Linked DNA regions of Coturnix japonica. The protein of the gene in region 1 interacts with the protein of each later gene in a pairwise test. Links are inferred from orthologs where the notes say so. Each region holds a gene or a part of one and is shown on either strand. Other genes may lie near its edges. The genes, in order: FHL3 and C17H9orf116.

Region 1 (16,115 bases):
GAAACTTTATCGGTATTATTTAATCTTCTGGTTACTATTGAGAGCTTAGCTTGCTTCTGAAGCTTACAGTGTTCAGGGGCAAGGGCTGGGAGTTTGCAAGTGAAGGGGTTCAGCACTGCAGGTTCTGGTGGGGATGCTGGATTTGGTGGCTCATGCTTTGTACTTTAGGTGCTCAGTAGAGAAGTGGCATTTATTGTAATGACTAATGCATAGTTACTGGGCTTTATCCATTAATAAGTAACGTGAATTCAGCAGCAGTCAGAAAGAAAAATGTTCTGTTCTAGGGAGATGTAGTTGCTGAGAAAAGTCCTTGTTCTTTGTTTCTTCTTTTCCTTCCGTTTTGCTCTGGCTTTGCCAGGTGTAAAATACAATTGTCAGCAGTTTACAGGGAAGGGGGGGTGTCAGTTTTTCCTGTCGAAGAAAATACCAAGGGTCTGATTGCAAAAAAGAAGGGAAACTGAAGAATGCCACATGGCTTCCACCTTCCTGTATTTCATCCTTGCAGAATTGCCTCTGCTGTGTGAGTCACTTGGTGTCTGTTGGTGTTTGCTAAACGGAGGACAGCTTTAACAAATGATTCTGCCCTTAGTCAATAGGAACACGCTGAAGGGATAGTGTTACTCTGGGATGAAACAGGACAAGGGCATTAGGAGTAAGCTAATAGTCATAAAATTCTTAATTGAGAGTTATTGGAAACAATTAAGTATGGGATCTAAATAGCAGTGCAATAGTGATCCTAAATTCATGTTCTTGCTCTTAGTGTAGCATCTCTTTGGCTTCCTGATTTGGCTCTGGATGTATCATTGCATATGGTAACAGGCTTGCAAGTTTGAGACTTATTTTATATAAAGTACTTAGAAATTTTCTGATTAAAAGCAATCCTTAAATCAGCCACTTCTGATTAGGGTCATTGCTGGACAAAAGCTGGGTGATGCTTATGCCCAGTGCCATTCAAGTTCAGGAGCATAAGTCAGCTTCCATCCAAGGACATCATCTTAACTGCTTCCTAGCTGGGTTCTGAGCATCTAAGCTGTAAGCCAGATGAATGAGCTGCATCCAACCTGAGCTGTTAGCAGCCCCTAAGCTCATAAATCCTGTGAGCAGAGAAGCCAGTGCAGGTGACTGGACATCTGGAGCCATTCTCTGCTCCCAAGGAGGAAAGGGACCTCTGAATAGCTCAAGGAAATGCTCAGTGTTGATGGAATGGCTGCAGATCTGCTTCCCTAGTGCTTCCTTCACCACATGTTACACTTGACCCTGCCAGTACTAAACACCAATAGGAGGCAAGTCATTGTCCCCAGTGGCAGATTAAACTGCTTGGCCATTGTTAAGAGTCCAAGATTTTCCTCTCTCACCCTGGTTAAATGACTGCTTGGATGTGCAGCCAAAGTAAACAGGAGCTAATAAAAAAAAATGGAGAGATAACAGATACAGTCTAGCTGTTATGGACTAAACAGTCATGCTGCTGCACAAAGATGTGTGAGTTTTGCTTGCTTGTTTTCTCCTTTAGTTTTTGAAACTCAGTTTACCTGAAAATGAGGTGGTACAGATCAAGTATACTTCCTTTCTCCTGTATAGGAGAACTTTGAAGAAGAAATTGATCTCCCAGGATCCATGTGTCGTTTCTGGAAGCCTTTCCTGTATTCTCCAACAATACATTTCCTTGTAGACAAGAAATGCATTGTCAATGGATTTTTTTACCTTTTCTTTTACTCAATGCAGTGTGAAGGCCATTGCTGCAAGTTAACACGTTGACCAGAAGTCTGGGGTGCTGCAGAGAGGTGGGATACCTACAGGGTTATCACAAATACTTGAACTCACAGTAAAGAGTTTTGGAGAGGGTCAAAAAAAACTCAGTGTGGAACAACCATGTAGAGATAGGGGTTGGATTCTCCCTGTATTCCTGTGATTCCCATGGAATGCTACGTTCTTTTACAGGAGTTGAAGTGAATAGCTGGGCAGGTAGAATAAGTGTTTGGACACGCATCTGCTTCAAGTACTTGGATGTTGCTAGCACACGTAATCGCTTTGTGTCTGAAGCTGACTGAACTGCCCAAGTCCTTGTAGTGTAGGTTGCTTTGCTTTCCTTCCTGTGGCTCAGGATGACGTGCCTGCTGTTCTGGTGGGTCCTGCATTCTGGTCTTCAGCCTCTTCTGGCATCAAAAGTTTGTAGAGAGACCAAGGGCTGAGGGTGCGATTTGACATGAAAAGATTACAGGCTGCTGGGCAATAATTACCATAAATGATGCAGACAAGTCCAGATCTAGAAGCAGCTTTTCCTCTTTCATCCCAAGCCAGTTGTGGCTCAGGCTGACAGCACACCTGGAAATGAGGTAATTGAATACTCTGCCCACATTGTTCAGATTAGCTGGGGTTTGGGCGCAAGCAGCACAATTGTTTTCTGTGCTTCTGGGCAACTTTTGTTCCCCTGCAGCCAGGAAGCCTTACTGGTGCAATGAGACAAGACAGGGTGATTCTCTTCCTTTCCTGGGAAAGGAAGGCACTCTTAAGCCAACTGTGGTGTGATTTCCCTGAGCAATCCCCTTTCCAGATGTGGAGACCTTGCTGCTATTGAAGTATGGGGCGGAAATACTTCCAGGGCTGCCTGAACATGTTATTTAGGTCAATTGGAAGGAAGATGGCAACATGAATCAGAGAAGGGGTTGGAAGAGGAGGAAGGTCATTAGGTAGTGCCTTGCCATCCCCTGCCAGTGTAGGCTTTTTCTCTGCTAGTGCAGAAGAACATTTAGAGATCCCGTTTGTTGTCTTCTGTACTCTGCATACTCCCGTGTCTGAGTAAGTGGACTGGAAATGAAAGAGAAGACTTCAGACGAAAGCTTTGCCGTTATCTCTTTGCATCAGTATGTCTCTTTCCTGATGGATTAGCTAATCTCTCTCAGAGATACACAGAGCAAGGTCTCCTCTTCGTTCCTCTGGAAAACAAGCTTCATCAGAATAATTGCTCTGACTACGTCCATTTGGGGTGAATGAGTCTCGAGAAGATGCTTTTATGGAAGCACAGCAATCCTGTTTTTGTGACAACTATTGTTGGCACAAGCTGGAGGGGGGTTCCCAGCAGGTGAGGGGCATGAGGGGTAATGCAGAGCAAAGCTGACAGGGCAGGCTGAAGCGATGGTGGTGGTGGTGGGAAGCCTCCTAAAGATGTCCCATGTGGGCAGGGCTTTGCTGAGCTCCTCGTTTCCCTTCCCAGAGGAAGCAGCCTGAATTCACCCGTTGCTCTGTAGAGACCTGTAGGCTAAAACAAATTATTCTTATGCAGTAGAAAACTCTGAAACCAACTTTAACTGATGAAGCAATTTGCCAGCATTTAGCCTCGAGGTCCCTAGTCCCTCAGGGCTCTCCAGTGCAACGACTTGAGCTGGTTTCCCAGAAAGATTCTCTTGGATATGTGCAGTTGGCAATACTCTGGCTTATTACTGGCCGTTTTATTTTTCCAAGAGCCAGCTCTTGTTAGCTTCGTTCTCACAGTATTGTTTTCTTTCTAGAAGAAGCTTTTGCTGGCTCTTCTAAGCCATCACATGGGAATTGCTTTACTAGCTTAGGTTTATTTTTTTTTGTTTTGACCCAAAGCTGCGCTTCGCTCCCCTCTGTAACACTGCCAACATCATTTCCAGTCTCTTTTAAGCATATGTTTTGCAATCATATCTAAACTCTTGGCTCCAAATAGCTGCCTTACAGAGAGATCCGTATCTTTTAACAAAGGAATTGAGAAGCTAACAGTGAGAACAAAAGCAATATCTTGAGAGTCTTTAAGCCTCTGCTGACCTTTCCCAAAGGCCTCAGCTGAGGATCCTGCATCTAGAGAGCAGATGGCAGAGAGCAGGGCGGCCTTTGGTCAGTTTGCAGTTCTCTGCCCCATCCCTGGATTTGCTGGAAATGTGCACTGCGTATTGTTGCCATCTGGGATCAAGCGTGCTATTCTTACTGTCTCCGGGGAGCCTTCTCCAGCAGAACCCATCTCTGATGGATGTCCTCTTTGGCTGCCCTTGTGCTCAGGCTTGTATTAGCAGTGTGGATTTCTGAGATGTGACAGCAACGTTCTTCAGAGGAAGACTTGGGAGGTGTCTTGTCATGGCTGGGAAAGACCAGTGAGCTGAGTTCTCCAGGTATCCAGTTGGGTACCTTCTATTGAACCAAGCAGCAATGAGATCACTGTTACCATCTTCAAAACTTCATGACAAACAGCTGCAGCAACGCAAAGGCTCTTGTTAGACCAACTGATGAATTGCCTTTGCTTTCCATAGTTGGAAGACTTGGACATATAGGTGGCACGACCAGTCAGGAAAGCAACAGCAGAGCTGGAAGTATGTTCTGTGTTTCCTGACATTAGGATGCTTCTCCTTGGCTTGCATCAGTGCATGAAATGGAGGTTGTCTGACCTGCAGAAATAAGGGTTAAGGTTAAGCAAATTGGTGTTTCTGGGAGTGAAGTTTCTCTAATTAGCACGTTGCTCAATTTGGGTTGCAGGTGAGTTGAGAGGAAAGTTGGAGCTGCTCCTTGTGTTTTTTACAGGCTTGTTGGTTATTTCTGTCCTCATTGATTCTTTGTATTGCAGTAATGTCAGAGATCTGAAGGTTGTGTATTTCAATTAAATTTGTGCAAAATGGCTTCGGGGCAGTTTCAGCTTGGGAATCTTTGTTGTTGTCCTTGTAAATATCAAACCTGACGTACCAGACTGAAATAATGCAATCAGGATGGATTTTCTGTAAATATTTCTTAATCCCTCTCAATTGTCATTCTTAAAACTTGGGCTCAGCTGCCATCTGTCACACAGGCAGAATGAGGGCTCCGAGCGGGGCAAATAAGAGCCCTTGGCGGTGCTATTTACACAAGTTGGAGGTGAGCTGGGTTCGGGAGCTGCCCAAGTTACTGCTCATCCACTTGTACCAGCTGCTGCTGTGTCTGGCACAATTTCCTGCATTGCTTTTTAAAGGCTTCTGTATGCAGGGACAGGGGGGAAAAGGTAAAGAACATAACAGAAGATGAGAAGATTGACATACTCCATAAAGTTCCTTTCCTGATGTTGCATGCTGTGGAGCCAGCTCTCCCTTCAAGCTCATCCAGACTCGTTGCCATGCTGTTCTGAGGGTTTTACCTTTGCACAAGTGAGCCTGGAGCTGTGTGTTCTCCATCCTTACGCAGGGTGGATGGCCAAGCCTCAAGAGATGGGAAAGAATTGGGCACCGAGGTCATGATGGGAGGCTTCGTGGTTCTGCATGAAGTGTCTGTTTATAGGAAGAGCTGAGCTGATGTGAAACAAAAGGTGCTTGGTGCTCCTGGAACTGAGATGCTGGGATACAAGCTGTGCCAAATGCAGAAAGAAATTAAGAGCAGAACCAAAATCCTTCCTTCCCTCTATTTTGAGGCTCAGCTGTTTGGTGTGGAAGGAACAGCCCTGCCTGCGCAGTCGTCCCTTAAGCATTTAATTGTTGGGAGGCTACATCCCTGTTTGTGCTTTGTCTTATAATGTGTGCTCAGAGACCCGCATCGCTTCCAAACCCCCATGCTCCATGTGTCTGACTGCGTGTGATGGATGGCTGACTGCTGAACCCCCAGCATCCGTCTGCCTTCTGCTCCAGCCCAGACTCTGTCTTGCTCCTTCCTCAGTCCCCGGAGCCCTCCAGCTGTGCTTTGCTTGGGGCCCATCTGAGGCTCTTATTGCAACCATCTCCCAGCAGAACCAGTGGGACAGTCCCAGGAGGCTCTTCTCAACGTCTGTCCCTTTGTCCCTGGGTGTGTGGGACTCCAGCCTTGTGCTTGCTGGCCCCAGGGCCTCACTCAGCCGCATTCGGAAGGAATCATAGCAGAGTTAGACCTGGCAGATGGAGGCCTGTTACCTCACCCCACAAAAATGCTTTGTTATTGAGAAAATGGAAACTGTCTGAGGTTTGGGAGCTGAATGGAGTCATTGGTGTCTGTTTTAACCACAGTTTGGTGGTGGCTGCTGAAAGTTCCCCTTGCTGAGCATTCCCTTTTCCTACACCCATAATCTTCAAGTCATCGGAGAGCTGCAGTGATTTAACTATTAGCTGAGCGAACGCTGAATGCTGCTGCGTGCTCTGCAGGAACTTCGCTAAAGCCTCAGCATCTTCCAGCAGAAGTAAAATGAGCTGCTAATAAATAACCCTTTGCAAACTGTTGCCCAGAAAGGTGATCCATGTGCGTATGAAGCCAAATTCAACTTCCTTTTATGATCTCAGCAGTGCCCCTTGTTTACTTGATTTATTTTTAAAGCTCTGCACTAAGATTAGGCAGGAGCTTCTTAGGGGAGAAAAGGCATGCACAGACACTGGTGTTCTGTACCATGGGTATCTGAATCCCAGCTCAGAAGAGAAGTTTCATCTTGCCAGTGTTTTTATAAGATAGATTTCAGTGCTGGGGAACTAGGGAGAAAGAACACAAGTAGGGATTCAACTATAAGCAGGCTGGTTTTCCTATTGCTCTGCATGATTCAGGTGAGTCAATACAAGCAAGCTCTAACTAAACACAAGGCTTGTTTTAGTTAACAGATAACTGTGTGCATTTGTGCCACTGTAGGATCTGATATACCCTGCCAGTATAAAACATTATTCACTAAACACCCTATTAAAACTAAACAAAGCAGTGTTAGCTTTTTGGAAATAAAAATGAGCGTTTTATTTATGTGCATTTAAACTAACAAATCTTCGTAAGCCAAATTGATGTCTTCCAGCTGCTACAGATGTTTTTTACATGACGAAATATTTCAGTGCTTAGAAAAACCTAGAATGCTGGAACCACGAGATATTAAATATTTAATTATTACACTGGAATGTAAATAGGGTCTCTCGATATTTAAAATCTGTTTACTCAAATTTCAAGTGCTTACTTAGAAACTCTTCAATTAACGTGGTTCTTATCTTGTTACTTGGGAAGAAGAGTGATGACTTGGCATCTCCCTCCAGATTTCTTTCAATATCAACATGGGTTTTAGTAGCAGTAATTTGGTTACCTGGAGAGATCATCCCAGCTGCTCCAAGCAGAGCCAGGGAGTGATGTCTGCTGTAATGGCCTCTTTCCATTTGAGATCCCTGCTTTCTGTGTGTTTGCAATGCAACCATAAAAATCCTTTCCAGGCTGAGCTCTGGCTCCTCAAGTCTTCGGGGGATTTCTTAATGCAAAACGCAAATAGCAAAAGCAACTGGCAGTTGATTTTTCAGACTCTATCTTTGCAGTGCAGAGCCCATTGTGGACATGTGTTGTTCCTGTAGTTTTAAAGCAACCTTATTTCTCAAATGATCCAAGCCCACAGGATTTCCCTTATGTATGTTTGGGGTTCAGTATTTTCTCTTGCAGTTTGGATGGTGCCTGCAGATCGTGCTATTTCCTACCAGAACAGTGTATCAATAGCTCAGTGCTACAGGGGAGAAATGTCTGTTTCAGGGGGCTTTTTAGGCTCTTCTAATGAACCAAAAGAAAGGAAATAACAATGTAAATGTCTATCTGAAAGGACAGAAATTCCTCTTTGAGGTCCACAGCTGATGGCAGGATTCCTACGTAGCACTTAGGATACAAGGGTGGTGAAAAAACAACAGGGAGGAGACCCCGAGCTGTCTCTGAGCTCTATTGTCAGAGTGGAGCTCCCAGGCACTGCCCCGAGCTGCTTTTGTTGGGCTTTTGACCTCACCTTCGAATTCCACTGCCCTCGGTTAAGGAAGAAATGGTTTTAATGGGTCTTAAGACTTAACACAGCCTGAGCTGAGGTGTAGCCCTGTGTGTTACATTGCTGCGGTGCTGTATTCCAGCTTCTTGCTTTGAAAGCCCAAAGTTCCAGTGCTGGGAGCTACACACAAAGACTCCTCATTGCTCAGGTGAAAGGTCTGGAGCCCAGGTTCAGCCACAGTGCTGGGTCTGCTCACCTCAACCTTTCTTTCCCCCCTGCTTCTCACATAGAACAGCTTGTGGGCTCTGTTTGGATATAGATCTGTAGCATGCATGAGTGGACGTCATGTTTTCCATGCTGCTGCATCTCAGGAGGAGAAGGAAGCTTTCTGGTTCCGTTGCTGGCCAGCAACGTGGATCTTAGTTCCTTTTTTAGCCCTGCCAAGCTTGCCTTGTGCCAAAAACCTTTGAGGTGCAAATCCCAGGAGGGAGATAAAATAGCTCCGTGCCCTGCAGGTGTTGTAAGGGTAAGTAGTGCTCCTGCTGGTGACAGCTGCTGGGGAACTGACCAAGCAAGAATCCTGTGAGAGGAATGGGATGTCAGGTCTGTGGAAACTGAGCACTCTGGTGTTTATGGTCTTGCACTGGGTCACCATATGTACTTGTGTTGTTTGTGATGGGATGTCAGGGAGTTAAACCTCCTTCCAAGCAAACTAATCTTCAGTTTGTGTCCTGGGTGAGGGTTAGTTACTACCTGCCTCTTTTCCAAGCATATTAAACTTCAAATAGAAAAGGCAGTAATTAAAATCTAAGACATTTCGGTGGCTAACTTTAGCTCAGTGAACACTTTTCTACTAAGAAAACTGCTGTGATGCCTAAACAAGAGGTTTCTGGAATATGTGAAGTGTCAGAGGTACTTATTGAAGTCATTAATAGCAGAAAGTACACTGTGTTGCATGTAACTCAGCCAAGAGAACTTTTATTTCTAGTATTTCTCAACCCTGTGCAAACATCATGTAATGCACAGGAAGATTAATTCTGGCCTGTTGGGCTTGTATAGAAGTCTTGGATGTGTTGCTTTTGGAGAGCCTGAGCAGCTGTATGTGGAAAATCAGAAATGCATTTCATGTTGGCAGAGGTGTTGGACCATAAGCACACACTGCATCATGCTCTGTGCTCCGAAACAATGACTCAACCCAGGAGTGATGAAATACGTGCTGTCAGATCCTTGATAACTCTGAGCTTTAATTTCGGAAGGAGATGCAGAGCAGAACTTGGAATAAGAAGGGAAAAGAGCAGTCCAGGGATTTTGAACAGCTGGGCCCCAAGTGGATGGTGCTGTACAAATTGCACTGACCCTTTCCAGTGGAAATCAGTGAGCGCTGCTGTCTTCAGGAGGTTGAGAAGCAATTTATATCCAACAAATTGGAATCAGGGATTCCTGCGCCCTTTATGAAAATATAGAGTAACTCGAATTGTAAGAGTCCAATTTCATGTCACAAGTAATGAAATCTGAACCTGTGCAGGAAATAAAATCCCAGTGCTGATGTCACCATCTGGTTTATGATGTGGCTGCTTTTGTTCCTGGGCGAGCACTCGAGCGTTCTACAAGTGAGGTGCTTACAGGACAGAGTCCCTTGCACTGCACCTGCTGATAGTGCCTGCACTGTGAGTCAGTGGGAGCTGCCCCAGCACATCCCCAGGCTCTGCACAGATCCTTCACTGCCACAATGCAAGGTAACAACAGCCTGGAGGTTTGGGTTCCAATCTCTGCCAGCTTGGGGCACGTTGACTGTGAGTAGATTGGTTTTTGGTCTGACCTACGAGGAGAGCAGAGGGAGGTTTGTTGGGTGCTGGTGTTTTCTTGCTGTAGTGAAGCCCGATGTGCTGGAGTGCAGGAGCATGCAGCCAGCCCTGGGAACTCTGCAACTCTTGGCAGAGAGCAGCTTGCTATTGCTTCTTCCTTCAGGGACAGAGTGTGGAGCATCTCCTCCACAGCAAAGAAATGGGACGTACTTTTGCAACCTCTGCTTCATGGGCTGAGACATCAGCTCTTCTTTGTGTGGAAGTCTTCATGTAGAAGTTTCGAAGAGTCCAATTTTGGATCTATCCCTTTTTATGTGGGTCTCCTTGTATATCTCAGATTTAAGCATGATTATGAGGTTCTGTGAATGAGCCACAGGCCTGGATCAAAGGCTGGTTAGTGTTACTCTTTCTTATCTCTGTGTGTTTGTTCTGCAAAGGAGCACTTTTCAGCTGTTCTTGAGTTTCTGGGCAGTCAGCAAAAGTACTTTGCAGTGGCACCTGCCAGCAGCAGGGCTTGGGGCTGTGGCTCCTCCACACACAGGAAACTCCATGTTTAGTGTGTTAGTGATGTAGAGGCATTTACGCTTTATTTTGTGAGTGCTTGTGCCCGTTTATAATAGCTGCTTTCACTGTATGTTTTGAATGTGGCAAGTCTTCCCTTTCAGAAGTACCACCAAAGACTGCATCTCAAAGTATGGCAGGAACTGGAAAGCATGTGGGTTTCTGCACATTTATTTTTAGTGCTTGCAGTGGGTTATTTCTTCGAGGTTTTATGTAGAATACACAATAATCACAACTTCTGCAGCTTAAAGCGTGCAGCACTAAGGGTCTAAGTGAGAAGTGCTTTACCAAGGAGACTATTGATGAGCAGATCACCCAGCAGAGAGATGATTAACTCTAGAAGGTTGAAACTTACTTTATGTCTACATTAGCAGGAGAATGGCTCCAGGAGACCTCCCTCTTCCCGTGCCATGTCCTTCTTAGCTTGGCTCGCTGTCCTTGGGAGTGCTGCCTTTTTAGGGACGGCTGCAGCTGGCACATGCAGCATCTCCCAGGCAACAGAAGATCTTAGTTGTGTTTCGGACCACAGGCGAGTGGTTCTTGGGATGGTAACCTGAGACAGTTTGTCTTTGCCAGGATTCAGTCCTTCCCTAGAATTAGAAGTGCTCACATGCTGCGGGTTACAAAGCTGTAATTGCCTTTGCTTGCGAGGGACACAGCAGCTGTAAGAAGTGTGGTAGGCAGGACTGCAGGCTGTTGCACAAGAAGTGAGGGCAGAGGCAAAGAGGTCCCTGGCTGGTGATCAGACAGCAAGAAGGCAGCTGCATGGCATGCAAGTGGCAGTGCAGTGTCTCCCCTATCACCTTGGCTTCTGCTTTGCTCTGCTGGTTTTGTATGCAGATGCGGTGCCATCCACCTTCCTCAGCATCACTGTTATATAGGAGACTATGAATGCTACAGCTTGGGAGGCAGGGAATTGACTCAGAAAGAGAATATTTGGTCTGGGGGAAAAAGAAAATCCTTTTGCCCTTGAAGCAATAGGCAATTGTTAAATAAGATGTGTGTTCTAGATGTCTTTTCCTGCTCCTGTAGATCAAAGTTACTTTGTGTATTAATAAAGCATCAACAACGAAAACTGAAGTTGAATGGATCCTTAGTCAACTAAAGGGCTGCCAGGCTCTCAGGTGAAGGTGATTAATAAGGGCTGGGCTCAGACCATGCAGGATTGCTTTTCAGCATAGATGCACAACGCATGCACATGGCTGCATCTACCCCTTGCAGCCTGTCCATGGGTTGATTTTCATGCATGCTTAGAGACAAGCTTGAGGCTCCTGTGCAAAACAGAGACGTAACCTTTTATTCAGGGACTACAAAACGCTTTGTAAAAAGAAATTTAAATTATTCATTGCTTCTGAACTAAGAATGGCTTCATCCTCAAAACAGCTAGAGGAAACAAAAACTACAGCACAGAGCTGGAATTGTAAGAGAACATTAGGGAAATAAAGCAGAATGCCTTGGTTTTGCAGTGATGTCTGCACCCCATAGCAAGCACCTCGAGCAGCCTGATTCTTTTTTCTGCATGGAAGCTGTGGTGTCTGTTTGTATTGCAGGATCCTTGTGTAGTGGGTAGATCTAAGACGAAGGTAAGTTGGCCTCAGTGTGCAGTTAGTCATTTCCTGTCATGCTTTCATGTTTGAGTTGTAGTGTATTTGTTTTGACCTTTATTTCTTGGGGCAAAGAGGTTTTGAGACATTGTTTCTGGAGCCTTCATCCTGCAGTTGGGTAAGCAGTTAGGCGTCTGTGTGGCCATGGACCAAGTCAGCTGGGTTTTATGGTCATCAATGTGGGGCTGGTTGGTTTATTGGTCTTATTGTGGACGTATATTTGATATACATTTGTTTGGTGGAGAACTCTGCCTCCACGCAGGTGCCCCATTGTGATCCTGATAGGTTGGGACGGGGCTACAGCACACAGAGCAAGAAAAGCAATGCTACAACAACGAGGTAACACGAGGCCCACAAGCACCAGTTTGCAGTTTCATCTGCATTTATATATACCCTCTTTATGACTTTCTAGTTGAACCCTCATCCAGTTACGATCCCCCACCACCTTTTCTTGTCCATCACTTTGTAACGACAAGGGCAAAGGAGGCTTACTGATAGATTAATCCACCTCTAAGCAACAGGCACTTTCCAGATTAGCTCCTGCCTGGACCTGGTATGAAACCTAGGGGCTGGAGGCCAGCTGCTGCCCGTTAATTTGTTTTGATGACTATCTTTAGGGTTTGTTTGTGTTCTCTTGCAAGTAGGACACTGGTAAGCATACGGTCTGCTCAGTGCATCTGAAAGGTTTATTCAGCCCTGCGTAATAAATATATTCCTTATTCTTGCCTGATTTTCTAGTTGAAAAAGGAAAACAAGGGGAAACTAAAGAAATGTGTGGATTTGCTACTAGCAGGTTCTCCAAATGGGAACGGCCAGGCCCATCTATCTTAATAGCACTGCAGTTGAGGCCAAGACTCCCTAAGCATGGTGCCTTCAGTGAGGCAAGTCTAAAGACCGTGTGTGCTCTCAGCATGCATGTTTTTGGTATCCCTATTCCCATAATCGAATAAGACAATACCCTTCTTTCAAGTGGCATTCAGAAAGCGGTTGCCCACTTGATTCTTACTCCTTTTTCAGGCTTTTTTAATGCATCCAGCCGTCACTGTCCCAAGCAGTGAATCTCCTCTGATTGAAGCTCCCGTGCTCGGTCACACTCCTTGAAACTTGGCTCCAGTGTCTTTCTTCCTATTATGGTCACCCTGGCCATGTCTGCAGCTGCTACACTGCAGCCAGTACCACCTCCAGCAGCAGTGCTCATTGCAAGCTGCTGCCAGCGGGGCCTCCCTTGGCTCAGTTGGTGTGGCACAGGGTCAGGTACTTGGGCCACACTCTCTCCTAAACCTCTTCATAGACCAGCAGAAATCTCCTTAGGCACGTTTTGAAGCCCCATGTTTCTTGACCATCTGGTAAATGAGACTTCATTTTGCTCAGGAGAAGTTTCTGATGTGTTTGTATTTAACTGCTCTGCTTTTTGGACTTCCTCCTCGAATTAAGTGGTCGGTTTGAATCATGGGGGACAAGTGGTTTCAATTCCTGACTTCCTGTTGCATGCACAGAATTTGCTTACTTTGTATACATTTGAAATAAGATTAACAGCTGATCTCTTGAAGAAATGTTGAGTTTCCATGCCAGCAGAATGACACAGGGTGCTTGTTCCAAGTGGGTCCTTGCAGCTCTGCCTTCCACCCAAGGCAGGGTTTGTTGAATCTCAGTCCATCCCACCCTCTTTTCCGCAGCAGTGTGGAAAGTTGGATTCCCTTGCAGAGTGGCCTCATTAAAAAGAGGTTCTTTCTGTAAAGGACAAATGTCACAGTGTGTACAAACACTGGCTCAGAACTCTGTGCCATTACCTTGTATGGGGATGCTGCTTTGTGAGAGCCTGTCTTAGTAGCAGCAGGTTTTCCATTCATGTTAGTCAAGTTTTATGTTTCCTTATCTTCAGAGAAAGAATGAGGAATTTATTACCAGGGGATGAAGGTCTATGAACTCAGCAGTGCTCTAAAACCAGAACGGCATCTTGGAGTGCCTCAGAACCCTGCACATCCTGACAGTTCTACTATGTCCATATGGGCAAAGCAGCTTCTGGAGCAGGGAGGACTTCTGCCAGCCTGCCCAGGTCTGCTGGAAAGTCTTTAAGCACATCAAGGGTGAGGCTATTTCCATGTGCAAAGTGCAGATTCTGCATACAGTCTCTCAAAAGTGTGTTGACTTTCCTGGGAAATCTGACTCACTGTTTATAGTAGTTCATGAAATTAATCTCAACTAGGAAACAATTTGTTTTCCAGATCATCTGAAGTGTGTCTGGTCTAGCACAATTCATTGGGTACTTAAGTTATGCGTTTTGCTTCCGGAATTAGCACCACTGATTCTGATGCAAGAAGGCATAAAAGGAGAATCCAGATCACAGATCTTATGTACAGTGCAGGGTGTTTCCTCACAGCTGTGGCAGCCATCTCGATGGATGCATTGCAGAGTTCCAGGCCAGCAGTTATCTCCTTGTGCTTGGAGAAGCAACAATACTGCAGGTTTTTGGATGCCTGCAAACCAGGGCACAGCACCCCAGTGGTGCAGGTGAGCTGTGCTCACACTCTGCTGCTCCTGATGTCCTCTTATGGGCCACCCGTGGAGCTGGGAGGTGCAGCTGTGAGCAGGATGTGACTCAGGGATGCTCGGAGCAGGCGGGGCTCCGTGCAGGCAGGATCCAGCTGGTGAAATGTCTGGCAGCCTCTTGCCTCCCCCAGCTCTCACCTGGAGGCAGCATTTTGCAGCAGCACAGATGCTGGACTGCTGGCCCAGGCCTACAGCTCACAAGTTTAGGGGCAGAGGGGCAAAAGCCATCCCCATGTGGCTCCCAGAGGTGGGAAGGGGGACGCCTTTCAATCCCCAGCCTCGTGCAGGGGCCAGTGCTGCTCCCATGAGTGAGCAGCTGGTTTCCCTTTTAGGGTTGGACGAGAGGCAGAAACAATGTCACGCGGATTCCAGCACCCATAATGTTTCTGGAAAGCCAAGGGGAACAAAGAGCATTCTCCTCTGTTGACCTCGAAGCACGTTGAGGACCATCTTCCAAAGCTGCCTCGCCAGGAGGTTTCATCCTTACATGGGAGCCTGTCCTGCAGCACTGCACTGTGCCCACCGCGTGCCTGTAGGTGTGAAGCGCGAGCGCCAGGGCAGCAGGCAGAGTGAGGAGAGAGGCAGGAACCCGACACATAAAGGCAGCTCTATTCCTGTGTCCTGGGAAGATTAAGTGCTTCCCTGGGAATAGCCTTGTTGGGTTGCTCTGGGGTCGCCTGGTGGAGCAGCTGGTTGTGACCTGACAACGAACAACAAACGCATATGGAGTTACACAGGACTATAGGTTCACACTGTGTGTGAGACCTCATGGTAGCCCGAATTCACTCCAAAAGTGCTTAAACTCTAAAGTGATTGTATGCAGCAGAAAGTCTGGCCCCGGATCTATTCTTTGCATAATAGTTCAAGACACTAAAATGAATGTAACGATCTCCTGGGGCTGTTGCTAAGCCCTCTGAGGTGTTGCTGTGCACAATGACACCGGCGTGGTGTTACGTGCCTGGTACTCTCTAATTAGAAAGCAGCCTCTGCTGTGCGTCCTTGGCGAACTGCTGACCTTTCCCATACGTGCAGCTATTCTGAGCTCTGTTCCAGCCTGATCAGGTTTGCATCCCGGAACACTTTAAATATTGTTTGCGAGGGGAGCTCTCGTTGCCAAAGCTGTTTGTTCTTGGGCACAGGCGAGAAACTGAGCTTCCTTTCCTCTATGAGCACAGCTCTGTCAGGCAGAAGGATTGGGTGGGCAGCTGGCAGGCAGAGAGATGTTATTTCTGCCCTCGGACAGCTGCAGGAGTGCCCCAAGTCTGGCAGCCCTTGTCCTGAGATGGGTGAGTGGGTGAACGCTCTTTGGAATCCTATCAGGTTGGGGCAACACCTTGGTTGGTGTCTGGAGGCGTTGCTGACACCAGCCTAGCTCACAACTGGTGTTTACAGGGTGGTGCAGACTGCAGAGTATCAGCACATGCTGATTAGTGTGCATGGTGACAGCCCTAAAGTCTCAGCATCAATTTAAAGGGTCCTGAAGCCAGGACAGATTTTTAATGCATTTTAAAACTCCACTTATTGTCTTCACAAACTAAAACAGTTTCTCAGATCCTCGTTACAATCACAGTAAGAAATTGGGACTTTCGACCTATTCCTTTGTTGTGTTTCTTTTCTCTCACCTTTCTCTGTGCCTTGGTGACCACATCCGTGGGTGAAGATGTGGAGTTTGCTGTGGTGTCGTGCAGGATTTGTCACTGCTGCACAACGCTGCGTGCATGACCAGAACAAAGAGAGCAAACAGATCATTTCCTTGCAGCTTATCTAAGACAAATAACTCTGAGTAAACTTCCTGGGCCTGGGTTTTATTCTCTGCAGCACAGGGTCTGATCCTGTGTGCTCTCGCAGCAGCCTCAGCCGTGTGATGCTTCGTTCTGCCAACCCTGCACCTCACAGTTAGAACCAACAGAACCAGATCTGCTCGAAGCAGAAAGGAAGCAGCGCTTTGCTTCC
Region 2 (14,863 bases), on another chromosome or scaffold:
AGCATTAGTAGTGATGACTCCTTTGAACAGAGCATACAAGCTGAAATTGTGCAGTTCTTGAATGAGAAGAAGCAACAAGGAATTAGCAAGTGTGTAATGGGGCAGGATGAAAAAGATTCCCACGTGAGATCTGTCCTTAAAAGCAACAAACAAACTACTAGTAAAACTAACTGTGGTGCTGTGAAGCGAGGTTGTAACGCACTCCTCTTGAGACACCATCCCAAGCTACGGAAAACCAGCACGCAGCCCAAGTGTTTGAAGTCTAAAATCCAGGAAATGCCTGATGATTTCAACCAAGTGGACCGAGCTTATCTAGAAGCAGCCAGCCAGCCCTGGTTACTGCATCAAAATAGAGAAGGTGGAACTAACTACTGGGAACCTAGGGGAGCACTTGTGGATGAGAGCATGAACGCATCCGACTCGAGTAGCGATGATGGTATTGAAGAAGCTATACAGCTTTATCAGCTGGAGAAGATCAGGAAAGAGGCAGGTCACACAACGGACTGTGTCCCTTTGCAAAGGGAACAACTTGATACAAAGGGTATAGCGGACATTTCAGCAAGCCTGACAATTAGCTCAACAAAAACTGCCTCACCAGAAACCTGTAAAAGCCCTACAAGCAACAAGAGGAAAGAAATTAATTCAAAGTCAATGGAATTAGAAAGCTCCAGCAATGACATTAACAGGCTCTTTAAACCACTGAAAAAAGCCAGGCATTTTGTACCTCCGGAAAACAAGATTGCTGCTTGTGAGCTCACATTGCAGGCTTCTTGCAGAGAAGACACATCTGCAGAACTCATGTGTGCAGAAGCTATTCTTGATATTTCCAAAACAATCATGCCATCCCAAATGGGAAGTGACAGCAAATCCCTCGCTGCAGACTCCTTCTTTTCTCCCCAGCTTCTCTCATCCTCTCATTGTGAAAGTGACAGCAGCCTTGTGGACAGCGATGATAGCATAGAGCAAGAAATCCAGGCTTTTTTGGCTCTGAAAGCACAGTCAGAAAGCCTTGTACCAAAGCCTCCTGGCCTGTCACACTCAATCCAGATGCCTTTGCCACCTGATCAAAACAGCCTCGCTGGTACCCTTGAGCCTTCTTTTCCCAAAACACTGAAACAATCACTGAATCGTAAAAAGAAACTTAAAAGGGAAGGCAGAATAGCAAAGCAGGGTGCATCAAAAGCATCCAAACAGATGGGGATGGGATTTTTCCAGCCAGAAAACTACTCAAAAGTTCCTGTGCTCCAGGAGGGAACCATGACCAGCCCTGAAGGACTCTGTGCTGCTCAGACGCCCAGTAGCAATGAGACTGAGCAGCAGCAGTCGACATCAACTGAACTGTCTGAATCTGCTGGCAAATGTGTGGCCTTGGATTCTGGAAATCCTTTTTTGCAGGTTCAGAGTGGTGCAAGAAAGCTTGTGAAAAAGACTATCCAAACTCAGGAGAGGGAGGGTTCAGATGATGAGAGCAGTTCTCTGGATAGTGATGAGGACCTTGATAGTGCTATTAAGGACCTTTTACGATCTAAGAGAAAATTAAAGAAGAAGTCTAAGGACCAGAAATCTCAGTGCAAGAAGAGAGTCACTTGTACTGAGACGGACAGTCAGCTGCTGGATGAGGTTAGTGACCTTCAGCAGAATGAGTGGAAATGTAAAAATCCCGTGCTACTGAAAAGCTGCCCCTCAAAATCTAGAAAAACTGTGAAAGAGAATGCAGTCAGCAGTCATCCAGGTAACATAAATGTCAGCCTTTCGAGTGAAAGACCAGAAGCCGTGAAGAACGTAGAGTTTGATTTACAGCTTAAAAAAGGGTGTAAACCTGAACCCGTTTCAAACCAGAATAACCTGCAGATAGCTAAAAATAGAAGAGGTTCTTTCACAGCTGCGTTAGGCACTGATGATAGCAGTTCAGTGGACAGTGATGACAGCATTGAACAAGAAATTAGGAAATTTTTGGCAGAAAAGGCTAAGGACTCTGCAAGCAATTCTGAGGTGCAAAAAAATGAGGCAACTCTAGACCTGTTGACCAAACAAACTGCAAATAAAGGAAAAGTGAAGCAACAGTCAGTTGAAAATGAGACAGACTTCTTGCTGGGTCAGACTAAAAAGACTAAGGGCTCTCAGCAGACTGATGAGTTGAAGAGCTCTCAGAGAACCGAAGGGAAAAGTGCAATGTTACTTGACAGTGGGAAAACTGCTTCCTCTGCAGAGAATGTTTCTTTTAATACTACTGGTCAGTCAAAAGCTAAGCAAGGAATGGTGGGGGTTAAAGGTGTTGCTGCTGGTGAGTTACCTGGGAAAGCAACAGGTAAAAAGGATGTCCCTAATACAGAGCCTGTGCGGAAAACACTTCCACCTAAAAACAGGAAAAATGAAGGTTGTAAAAGACGAAAAGTAAGCAATGCAAAGTCTAGGTCTAAAAGAAAGAACACCTTTCAATTAAAGATTTCGAGTAAATTTATTGAAGGTCTGAAACATGCTCGGGAGAGGAAGAAATCCATGCTTTTGAACAAAAAGCAGAAATCAGAGCATTTGCTCAGCCAGTGCAGCTCATCAGGAACAGAGGTAGCTTCCCAGGATACAGATGTACTTAAGCAGGAAAAAGGAGCCCCACTGCCAAAAGGTGAATGTAGTGGGGAGAATAAGACAGCAATAAAAGAATCCAGCTCTTCTCAGAAGCTCACTGTGGAAGTGTCAGGTCCCCATGTAGCAGAAACCTGTGAAAGACCAGATGCTGCTCCTTTGTATTTCAAAGAAGCAGAGGGCTGCAAAAAGGCTGCTGCCGACTGGATGGATTCACATCTGAATCTCCCCTCACAGGAGCAGAGTGTGGCAGCAGGACAAGTAGATAAGGTTTGCAGAGAAACAAACAAAGCTGAGGACGTACAGATGGGGACTGAGGAAGGAGATAGCCACAAAGACAGCTGGGCAGATTCAAATGTCAGTCCCCCACTCCTACAGCACAATATGGCAGTGGTAGAAGCAGATAAAGTTAGCAAAGAAACATGCCAGCAGAGTATACACATATGTGGTCATGGAGAGAATAACCAGCAGGACAGCAGGCCAGATCCACATGTGGGTTGTGCACCGCAGGAGCTGAATGTGACAGCAGTAAGAGCAGATGAAGCTAGTGGAGAAGCATGTGCAAGTAACAGTGTGCACATGTGCGTGGAGAAGGAAGGCATTACCTGCCAGGACAGTGACAGACAGTCAGAAATAAAGGGATCCAGCTCCGGTTTGGAAGGCAAAGTGCCTGTCCTGCAGAATAGGGAACCTGATTGTGAACCAGACCAAGGCCAGGAAGTTTTAGAGAAGGATTGTACAAAATGTACTGACACACCAGCAGGGGACAACCCAGATTCCCTCATGAAATTAAAGGTATCAAAGAAGTAAGTACACTTTTTACTTGTCCTCCCACAGTAAGTCTTTAGAAAATAACTATCACTGTAATTCCCTTAATAGAACTTGTGACATGGGAGATGGTGGGAGAAGGCGATAAACGCGTATCATATACACACTAAGGTGAAAAATGCTTCTATATAACAGGGATATTGTGGATAAACGTGCTTAGGTTTTGTAGAATTTTGTAAATTATTTAAAGCCTTCTAAGGAAGTATTTTTTATAATGATTTTTAGTGCTTATGTTACTACAGAATGCTGTAGCTTTTGTAGATTAGGAGATGCCGCCTAATCATACTTTAAATTATGAGGCTTCTAATCATGGTTAAAAGGAAACCTGTCAGTTATTTGTCGGTCTGTGAGGAGATCCCAGGCAAACACAGCAATTACTGACAGCGCAGTGCTTTGGAAGCTCACTGCCTGCCATGTGTTTACACTCGAGCTGCCTTAGGACAATCCTGTGTCCCCAGGGACTGCAGAGTGAACTCACCAAGCAGAACTCCAGCAGAGTGGATCTGTGGATGTCACTAGGCTTGGGTGTAGCTGGGCCTGCAAGGCTGAAACAATTTTCTCCTTACCCTTGAGTCTAATTCTGATGCCCTGCAGTTACCCAGCACCACGTTTGGATTTTTCCAAATGAACTTTCTTCAACTGAGTGCCCTTACTTTTCTTTTTCAGACGTGGTTTTTAAGATGTTACATTGCTGTGAACTTTCATTTACAAGTTTTGTGCAATAGAGCAAAGCTATATTTGCTGTAGGAAGTCCCCAGCAGAAACGCCAAGGATATTTTCAGCACTGTTCTTTCATACTTTAGAGAGTTTTCTCTTTTTCCAGCACCCAGAATAAAGCAATTTTTCACTACTGTCTTTTCTATTTGAACTGACTTTAAATGGCGTTCGAGCGATGCTTTTATATCGTGATGGAAGTGTTCCACACCAGCTCCACTCAAAGATCCAAAAGGTGTGAATTGAAGCTGTTGACTGGTTCTTTCATTTTCACTTGTGTCTAATGAAGTCCTCTGAGTAGTTTGTTCCTGCACCTGGTCCTGTGAATCGATTTGATGCTCTCTTTATTCAGTCTTCTACTGAGCTTGTAAGCCAGACTACCATTTTGGCTTACCTCGTTTCTTAATCACTTCAGCAGTCTTCCTAAAGGCTGGCCTTAATGTTCAGAAATGGAGCGAAAGCAGTCAAGAACGGATCCAGTATCACTTAATATCTCCAGATGTGATTGCATTTGCAGAATATTGGCAAACTGCAGCGTAGCATAGAGTAGAAAAAGGAACTGTGGCGTGTAGAGAAATAGAAGACATCCTTTGTGTGTTTATACTGTCGTGCAGTTGCATTTTAAACATACTTATAGCGGTCACTTGGCATTTCTTATTGTCAGGCCACCTTGGGCTGGCTGGTGGAGGAGTTCACTGCTGGCTCACTTCATTTTTGTGGTAGGATACGTTGGAAAAGTGGTTTTTAACTTAGCTCATGCCTGCAGGACCTTTGCACAGGCATGTCTCTGTGTCTGCTTTGATTCAGTTGCAGGATTTGGGCATTATTGTTTGAGATAGGTGAATAGGCTGTATTTTAAAATAGAATTTCTCTGAGTACCTTGCTTTCAAAGGATTAAACCATACTTAGTAGCGATGGTGGAAGCACTATGTACCATTTGTATGAAATAAGCTGGATGTCTTTCAGTGTTTTTCACTAACCCAACCTCAAGATTTACGGAGGTGTCTTGTGCTCCTGTTGGTGTGTCTGTGTCTCTCAGTACTACTTGTGAACTGATTCACTTCCAGTGAAGATGCAATTCTGATGACCTTGTGCTTTAAATACAAGCTAATTTCAAGCAGCACTTTTTTAAAAATTAATTGATAAAACTTGATTTGTATATAGGAAATGGTGTACATTGATACGTTTATAATGTTTAATAAATGGGGTTCTGACTGTGGACCATGAAGCCAGAGTGCTTGTGTGCTTTGTGTCTCCAACATGGGTGAGCAGTGTGTTGTGTTACAGCTTTTCCCTCCTGTCTGTAGTCCAGAGATGCAGTTTATCCATGTCAGCATCACCTGTTTGTGAAGGATGTCCCCCCCCTTCGGAGTCAATCCAGTTTGTTTTAGCTGAACCTCAGAGCAGGGCCACGGCTCCTCTGCTGCTTCTCACCTTTCATCCTGTTCTCTCAGCCACCAGCAACCTGAGGCCATCATCGCCTGGGACAGCAGAGTGTGATGTCCTTGTGAATGAGATCTTAAGTGATGTGGCCATTTACAGGAATGTTCTTAATAACAAGAAGAAAAGAAGAATCTCTTATCAGCCAGCCAGCTGACCCCATTTTGGCTTCTCCATTGATGGCCATAAAGGCACTGGTTGAGCACCATCCTTATTTCAGCCCTCACAGGGAATTAATTTGTGCAGTTTTGGCAGTATATACAAGGACAGAGCCATGGGGTTCAACCTCAGGACCAGAAGGATTGCCTTCATTCTTCATAAGCAGCTCTTGGCTGCTACTTTAGGAACCTGTTTCAACTCATGACTGCTTTATATAAAAGGAAGAAGCACTCCATCTCTGCCACCGTCTCCTTTATTAACATATATGCTCAGGGATGGCTGCAGCCAGAGCTCACACACTGCTCCCTTCTCAGCCAACCTCAGTGGAGCACATGGGGTAACATTACCCCAACACATTAAAGGATTCAGGGCGATGTTTTAGATTTGAGTATGGAAAGAGATGGAAAATAGGTGTCAAAACCCACTAAGTTTATATTTCTGAGAGCTCCATCCTTAAATTATTCCACCTGCAGGAAAAAAAACCTGTGGATGGAAGTATTTGTAAAACTGACACAAGTGTTTGCATTAATTCTGCCCTTAATGTTACTTCTCATTGCAGGAGAAGAAAGAGAAGAAAAACTCAACGCATTACCAAGAGTCTAACGGAGGAATAGCAGCGATTGAGAGAAGGTTGCTTATCTATTTCAATGCGTTGAATATTTAAGAAGTTAACTTTTCAGGCCCATTTCTGTGCCCAGTATTTACTTGTTCATATACATTGTTATGTTTTTAGAACTTAGCTGGCTGGTTTTGCCTTTGAGATAACTAAATTAATTGCAACGTGGGGTTTGAAGTGTTTGTTAAGCTTGTTTGAACCCACCACAAAACACAGGCTTAATGGCAGGCTGTTCAGTTTTGGACTTCAGATGTTCAATGACTTTAGCTGAACAGAGTTATCTGTTCTTCCTCCAAAGCTAAACGAGGCCTTAACAAGCTGGGAGTCCTGTTAGAAAAGCAATACAGAGTTTGAAGTCTGGGGAGGGGAGGGGGGGGTTCTACTGTTATCTTTAACCTGCTAATGCAGCTGTTTTGTCACACTGTTACCAAGCTGAAAGATTCTTTACTGTGTTCAGGAGGAAAAGTTCTCATTAAATTCCAGTTTAACCATTTTAACTGCATGAGTCTGTGTGTTATCCTGCTCGCTGTGCCCTGTCAGCTCTTTTTGACAGTCTGGGCTGTTTCATTCCCCTTAGAAATAACTGTCAGAATCACTTATGTGTTGTGGGCTCCTGCATATGTTTCTTTATTAAGACAACAGCTTTGAAACAGCTCTGCAAATTTAGGACACCCACAAGGCCACAGCTGGCCTACAGGCTGAATCTCCTGCTCACATCCCACGACAACCCACTGCATTCAGGAGAGATAACCTGCAGCCTGTGGGCAGCAGCCATGGCTGTAACCGAACCAGAGGAACGTGGTGCTTCACAACGAGGTTTAGCAGCGGGTTTGGGGTAAGGTCGGTGCTGTCGTTTCCCTGACTTTTTAGATGGGGAGGGAGTGATTTTTTTAACTAAACAGCCGGCAATAAACTGAAATGGTTTCATTCTGCTTCAGCAATGCGAGGGCCCGTTGACTTTGTAGCTGGGGTGGAAGTCGAGGGTGTCGTAGGGGGTGATGAAGTTGGCAGGGCCGGTGACACGGCTCTTCTCCAGGGCGGTGTTGAGCCCGTCGTTCCGGTACATACCACGCGGTCCCAGATTGTCTGAGAAGGCGTGTGAGGTGACGTGGTAGGAGCTCTGAGCAGGAAAAGGAGAAAGAAACGAGAAGAGACGTGATCAGCACCAACACCAATAGAGCCTGCAGGAGCTTGGACAGCATTCTAAGGGCACTTCATCACAACGCCCCTCCAAGAGCTCATTGTGATGGATTGAAACCAAGGTGGTGGCTCAGAGCCGCAGGGTCCGAGGTGGGGTTGCCAAAATGAGGGTTAGGGTGTTGGGCAGGAGGAAGGTTCGCAGTGCCCTGGGAGGAAGGTTAGTGTGGTGGGACCCCAAACCCATCACTGTGCAGATGATGCTCAAGCTCCAGGCTCGCACCTACCGGCACTTCGTACGCAGTGGGCGCTCTGCGGCCGTACTCCTGGTTTGTCGTCCGGTACAGAGGGTGCGGCTCCGGCTGCCTGCGGGGATACACGGCATCGAGGCGGGCACAGGGCAGAGGGGCTGGGGGTGTGGGGTTGTGGGGGGCACATGTATGGGCTCACCCGTATCCGCGGAAGCCGGAGAGCTGCAGGAAGCGTTGGGGCAGCGTGCTGCTCACCCAAGGGCCGCTGCGGGGCGCGGGGCCCTCGGCGGGCTGCGGCTGTGCCATGGAGGGACGCGAGACCGCGTTGCCAGGCAGCAACTCAGAGGAAGCGGAAGGTTCGGCTCCTCTTCCTCTTCCTCGGGCACAGCGATGGCGGTGATGCGGTTCTTAAGGGCTGGTGAGCGGCTCTACAGCGGCCTCCCCGCCCCGGCGGCACTGACGGCAGCGGCTCGGCCCCGCGGTGAGTGCGGCACAGCCCCGGCCCTTCCCCTCTATCCCGGCCCTGCTGCACGTTGGGTTGCAGTGATTTCTCTTTATTCCCCCAGATCTGGAGGACAAGCTGCTGACCGAGCCGCTCCGCCACCCCGATTTCTTTAACGTGAAGGAGCTCTTCTCACTGAAGGATCTTTTCGATGCCCGAGTGCACCTGGGGCACAAGAAGGGATGTCGGCATCAGTGAGTGATGCTGTGTGATCCTTGTGTTTCTATAGGGCACACGAGCCTTTGGAGGCAGCACCAAACCTGGGACTGCCTTAGCAGGGTCTGTTGTGATAGCACAAGGGGAGATGGTTTCAGACTAAAAGAGGGGAGGCTTAGACTGGGTGTAAGGATACAGGGTTGGGTTCTTTTGTTACTATAACAGCAGTGAAGGAGACACCCAAGGTCAAGCTGCAGGGGCTGTGAGCACCTGATGGAGCTGTGGGTGTCCCCATTCAGTGCAGGGAATGGGACCAGATGGCCCTTCCAACTCAAACACCCCTCTGATATCAGCAGGCAGTTGGGCCGTGGGAAGGTTTCTTTAGGACTGGAAATCTCTCCTTCATGCCAGTAGCCCTGCGTGTCACCCCCCCTTCATCCCTGCAGGTTCATGGAGCCCTACATCTTTGGCTGCCGGCTGGACCAGGACATCATTGACTTGGATCAGACGATGCAGCATCTCCAGCTGGCCCTCAATTTCACCGCCCACATCGCCTACCGCAAAGGCATCATCCTCTTCGTCAGCCGCAACAGGCAGTTCTGCCACCTGATTGAGAGCACAGCACGGGAGTGTGGGGAGTACGCTCACACACGTTACTGGCAGGGCGGCCTGCTCACCAATGCCCACATCCAATTTGGTCCAGGCATCCGCCTGCCCGACCTCCTTATCTTCCTCAGCAGCCTCAACAATGTCTTTGAGCCCCACGTGGCCATCCGGGATGCTGCCAAAATGAACATCCCCACGGTGGGGGTGGTGGACACGAACTGCAACCCGTGCCTCATCACTTACCCCATCCCTGGTAATGACGACAGCCCCACTGCCATGGAGCTCTACTGCAAGCTCTTCAAGATGACCATCATCCGTGCTAAGAACAAGAGGAAGCAACTTGAAGTCTTCCAGGAGCTGCAGAGCCAAGAGAAGAGTGATACAAACCGCCCTGTGCTGTCTGGTGGCCAGGCCTGACCATGGGGGCTCATCTCCATGCTGGAGGTGGGCACTCTGCTCCACTTTACAGTGCTGTACCCATGGCATCACAGGCTGTTTGTCACACAGGGACATTTCCAGCTCCAAAAGAATTAGCCCAGAGCAATCGGTCTAAGAGATGGAGTGGGGCCAGTGGGCAGCTCTGTGCTGGTTTGTTGTTGCCAGGAGCACTACTTCTGTCCTGTGACCTTCCCGTTGTGAAATGCTGCAAAGCCATTTGTATCACACACCACAAATAAATAAAGGGGCCTTTGATCCTATTCTTTCTTTCCCTGTTATGGGGAGGTGGGGAACTTTCTGGCAGAAACACTATGAGGGGATAAAGGTGTGATTGTTCCCACTTGGGGGATCTCAGGGCATCCATGGGAGCTCAGAAACTGCAGGGGACTGCCATAAAAAGGGCAGTGCTGCTCTTAATTATCCATGTGCCCCTTTAGGAGTGCTTAGGGTGGTGTCCTGCCATTATCCTGCCCCCTCGCCTCTATATCCGTGCTGGGGTAACTCCGCCATGCCGACCTCCCGTCAGCAGGGGGCGCTCGAGGGAGCAAAAGCGCAGTGGGGATTGTCCTCGCTGCGCTTCCGCCGCCCTCCCTATATAAGCGGGAGGCGGGAGGCGGTGCGGCCTTTTCGGCGTGGCGCTCGGCGAGTGTGGAGCTCTTCCTTAGGGCTGTGGTCGTTGCGAAGGGCCGACTTTAAGGCCTCGCTGCCCGCCTGGCTGCTCCTCTGGGCCCTTCAGGCTGAGGGCACGATGCCTTTTACCGGGGAAATGCAGCTTTATATTGCTGGTTACTGCTGGCTCTGCCCGGCGTGGGCGCCATGCTGCACTAGGCCTCGGCTCCAGACCTTCCCGATATCTCTTCAGGCACATCCTTAGGTATGTCACGACTTGTATATTTTTACAATGCGTACAACAAAACACTAAAACATACATTGTTACTAGTTTATACAGGCATATAGTTAATTATTTTAACTTCTCCTCTTTGGATCCTTTATTACTCAGGTCTTATTTGTCCAGCACCAAAAATCAGTGGTTCTATTTCAGACAGCTGGACAGACAGGAGCTGCAGTCTTTGTACCTAATAACTTCTACCTAATAACTACAAATTGCTTCACTTATATAATGAGACCTAGAAATAAAATATTCTTATCTTATTCTAAATGCAGAAACAACATTTGATTCCCACACTTCCAGGGAAGGAGGGGGAAAGCAGGGCTGCAGCCTGGTCTGCTTTAAAGACTGGAATAATTGTAAGGAATCCGTTTAAAAAGCGATTATTTTCCCTAGCTTTTAACTTTTGGATTTTCTGAACTGATAGGAAGAGTTACAGTTTAGAAAGGGGTTACTTAGTGGGCTCAGCATCCATTGTTAATCACATTCTTTCTCTTTTTATGCCCTTATTAGCATAGGACGAAGGGCACAGTGAAAAAGATGTTCCTTCCTGGAAAGCCGAAGGTAAGCAGTGCTGAGCACAGAGCTGCTCCAATCTAAATGGGTTCGTTTCTGTTCTGTATTGATTCATTTGCTTCCTGCCACAGGCGTTGCAAAGGTGGCTGCTGTGACATCTTTGTGTCATTAGGTGGCAGAGATGGACAGGCTGTGTTCTACGCTCGTTTGCTCTGCAACTGGTGAGCACTCAGAGTGATTGATAGCCTGACATTGCTTAGATACAGGCTTGTTGTGTTGGGTTTCTTTATTTACCCTTAAGTATGAAATCAGGGTGTAGTACAATAGAAAGCTGTTGTGGATGTCCGGGTGCTGGGAGATGTGTGCTGGCAGCCCCAGTCCTATTTCCTGTCTGGAAGTAAAACACATGCATGTAATACACATCTTTCTAGATTCACCCTTCTTTAGGACCTTTCAATTACTTGGCATCATTAAAAAAGAAAATGGATAACCAGCTTTGATTTCATCAATGCTATGTGTATTATCTGCTCTTTTTCAGAGAGAGGCAGGTGGTGTGGCAGAAAGGTCTGAAGAGGTCTCAGAAACCTGAGGTGAGCAGTAGTGAATAGCAGCTCATGCATTACACAGATCCATGCCCCAGTCGTGTTGCAGATATGGCTGCAGTGCCATGTTTGTGTCATTAGGTGGCAGAAAGGAAAAGGCTGTGTCTGCTAATGCTCTGAAACCCGTGAGCACTCAGGAATGACTAGCGACCTGACAAATATTTCTACCTTTCTCTGTTTTTCTGTAGCATTAACCTTAAATTGTGCAGTGTGGGCAATTCTAGCTTGGTCTGGAAGCAGTTGGGTGTGATGTAGCATATGGGGAGAAAACTGCTTTCTTCTGCTATTATTTGTTAAATGCTGTCAGCAACTTCTTGCCTTCCAAGGGTGCTGAGTATGTGAAGAAGGTGCAGTCAGCATCTTCTGAAATGTCTTAAAAACTGTGCTTGCTTTTACAAGGAGAAAAATGAAGATACTTTTGTGCGGTTACATGTGAGGACAAGTCTGAGTTGTCGGTCAGTTTCCTTCAGATTTAAAAGGTAGGTAGTATGCCATTGCTTGGAAACGTGACTCAGACCTCAGTCTGTTACTAAAATGATTTTAATACAGAATGCTGCTGGAAACGTGTCATGAGTTTGTGGTGTGGTGAGATGGTGGTGGAGAGATACTGAAGAAATAAGGTTGTGAGTGCTCTGTCCTGTTCCTCAAGACAAGATGCAGCTTCCTTATTTGTGTTGCTGAGCTCCACCACAGCAGACAAAATGTGAAAATTCAATTGCACGTAATTGAACACCATTGGGCTATTTTGCTTGGTTTTGCTGTGTTTGTGCTAGCATGGTGACAAGGAAATGTGACCTTTAGGGCAGCTCAGGTACCAAAGTGCTGCAATGGTTTGGTGCATCACTGTCATTCCTTGCTTGATGTGGTCCGTGGGAGCATCTGCTGTGCTGGTGATGTTTCCTAAAGCAAGTGAGAAGCTCTCACTACACACAGCATTGTGAAACTGCGAGCCTTTGCAGTGACTAATAGCTTTTTGAAATCTGGCACTGCTAAATGTTGGAAAATGTCAGCATTAAATGGGCATTACAAGGGCCAGAGGTGTCGTTAGCCGAGCGGGTGTCTGCTGGCTGCAAAATGAGCCATTTAATTGGGAAAAGGCACTGCCTTCCAGTAGTGGTGGTGGAAAAGAATGCTAATAAGGTGGTTGGGAATATGGTTATGTGTAGAGGCATGCACTGTGATGCAACCCCTCCATTTAAGTTTCGTGGCTTCTTTTAACCCTGAAATGCGAGTTGTGTTTTTCCATCAGCACTCACATCAAAGGGCTGTACAGGGGATGAGTGCCTGGTGAGGCTCTTTAAGACCTTTACATGTAAAGCATAGCATGTCTTAAAATTTCCCTGTTGCCATTTGCTACTAACTGTATTCCCATGACTGAGCAGCAATCCCAGGCTGTGAATATTATGTAAAGGCATAGAACCCTCCTAAAGTAATCTGAATTTGAGTGCTTTCTGTCACTGTTTGGATCTGGTCTGCCCAGGTTCTCAGGCACTCAGATTTCCATTGTCTTGCAGTGATTTCAGTGAGTGTAGTTTGGTTGTTCTGGGTTGAAGTATGATTTCTTAGCTTTAATACTGTAGGATGGTGAAATAGCAGGAGTTTCCATGGTATGGGTTAATTCTCTTCTTAGTGTTGACACTACTGCTAACTTTTATGGGCTGTATTTATTTGACATTGTTGTCTAACATCCTGTGTGCTTTTGATTTTCAGATCTTGCTCAACTTCTAGAACTTCTAGCAAGCCTGGCTACAGGAAAAGAAATGGTTTGGCATTTCAAGATGCAGAAAACTTCCATCTTATTCATACATGGGTTCAAGCAAGCTGCAGCCAATGCGAGTGCATGTAATATTTCCTTCCTACAAGTAATCTTAGCTTGTGCTGTTTTCACACCCATGTTCTGAAGCACTTGTTTTGACCATGTTTACCACATGGCTAAGAACGGTTTATAAAGAACAGTGCTAAGTTCTGACCTGCCAGTCAGAATTGCTTTATAAACACCTTAGGATCTAGGATGTGTTTGTGGATATGAGAATTGTGATTCTTGTTTTTTTAACCTTAAACAATAAAGTTTGTAAGCTTGCTTCCTACCTCATTCCCCTTCTAGCACTTAAACCTTTTGCACTGCTAAAGCAGCAGCATCTGTTCATGTTGGGTTATCAGCCTTTCAGTGTTCTGGCTCTTGCTCCTTTTCCAGTTAATGTGGAAAGTTGGGAGGAGGCGTTACAATGTAAAATAGCTTTGCCTTGAGTCATTTCTCTTCCATGTTGTACTGCAGCTCGTAAACCATAATCACTTGTTTGAAAACACTTGTGCATTGTGTTAGTGATGATGAAACTTGGTGCTCTTGGGATGTGTGAGTCATAGGTAAGTCTGAATCCCAGGTGCCTGTCCAGTGCTGGTAATGGGGAATGCAGAATAATAACACGTTAACGTCCTGGGTTTTGTCAAAAGTCTTTTATTTGAATAAAGTGTCTGAGCTATTTCCCTTCAGTACATGGGCTGTCTTTTCCTGAACAATTTCTCATTGTAAATGCCTGAAGATGGTATTTATGGTGATGTAGGTAAGCAAGAAAAGAATACATGTTTTTGTCCATCTCTAGTTGCTTACCTGCTGCTTTATGTAATAGCTTTTGGGGAGGGGAGCAGTGGGGATGAAATGAAGTAGGAGTGCCATTTGTCAGAGCAGAGTTTAAGGTTTGGAATAGATGGAAGGGTGAAAAATGGCTTTCTTGTAAATGAGATTTGGTATGGTTGTTAGGTTTTTGTTGCTCATAGCAGAGGGAAATGATCTTGTCAGTGGAACTAGTTGCCATGGGACAACAGGCATGGAGCTGGGCATAGCTATGTGAAGCCTCACTGAAAGAACTCCAATCCTTGCCCTCCCTCCCCACCAAACAGCCTTTCCATGCTGGCACAGGGATCTGTCCCTGCATTTAGCAGCACAGTGCCTGGAGGTGGAGTATCACCACTGCATTATGGGTGGCTGGCTCCAACAGACTGAATGACTTGCAACCTTTCAAACACACAGGAATTGTACAAATGATCAGCCTTCCCACAGATGAATGATGCTGTGGAGCTGACTCCTTTGCAGGGAGCAAGCTGTGCTAGCTCCCTGCTAGATTTAGAGCGCTGTTGACACTGAAACATATCCTTCATAAATAATAGTGAGAGGTAATGATGATCCTATAGAACTAATAGAAGGAAATGCTGATATTTATCCTCCAAAGGGCCCATAATTTTGCAGCTGTGACACTGCAGATTACCTCCACAGACCATATATATACTGTTTAAATGTATTCTTTTTTTTCCCCCTCAGTGACTGTACTTCAGATATATGCTCCACTTTGCTAAGCAATTGTTGGCAGGAGCAGCAGCATACACTGCCAGCAGAAACAGTGCTGGGAACAGTGCTGGGAACCGAGCACG

Evidence for each region.
Region 2: the proteins of FHL3 (region 1) and C17H9orf116 interact in binary tests that used the Homo sapiens proteins (3 or more experiments, as listed by UniProt). The two-hybrid records come from large-scale screens. The link is inferred for Coturnix japonica from reciprocal best matches to the Homo sapiens genes FHL3 and PIERCE1.

What each region holds. Positions count from the first base shown.
Region 1 is NC_029538.1:3,101,658-3,117,772, forward strand, and holds the start of FHL3 (four and a half LIM domains protein 3), read left to right. Parts: upstream 1-9,239; 5' UTR 9,240-9,371; coding exon 9,372-9,378; intron 9,379-16,115. UniProt on the Homo sapiens protein: Recruited by SOX15 to FOXK1 promoters where it acts as a transcriptional coactivator of FOXK1.
Region 2 is NC_029532.1:6,212,486-6,227,348, forward strand, and holds C17H9orf116 (UPF0691 protein C9orf116 homolog), read right to left. Parts: upstream 8,060-14,863; 5' UTR 8,035-8,059; coding exon 7,928-8,034; intron 7,844-7,927; coding exon 7,765-7,843; intron 7,461-7,764; coding exon 7,275-7,460; 3' UTR 6,942-7,274; downstream 1-6,941. Other genes in the region: PPP1R26 (protein phosphatase 1 regulatory subunit 26), read left to right, coding at 1-3,389, 6,284-6,338; MRPS2 (28S ribosomal protein S2, mitochondrial), read left to right, coding at 8,119-8,209, 8,295-8,424, 8,833-9,409. UniProt on the Homo sapiens protein: Microtubule inner protein involved in the attachment of outer dynein arms (ODAs) to dynein-decorated doublet microtubules (DMTs) in cilia axoneme, which is required for motile cilia beating.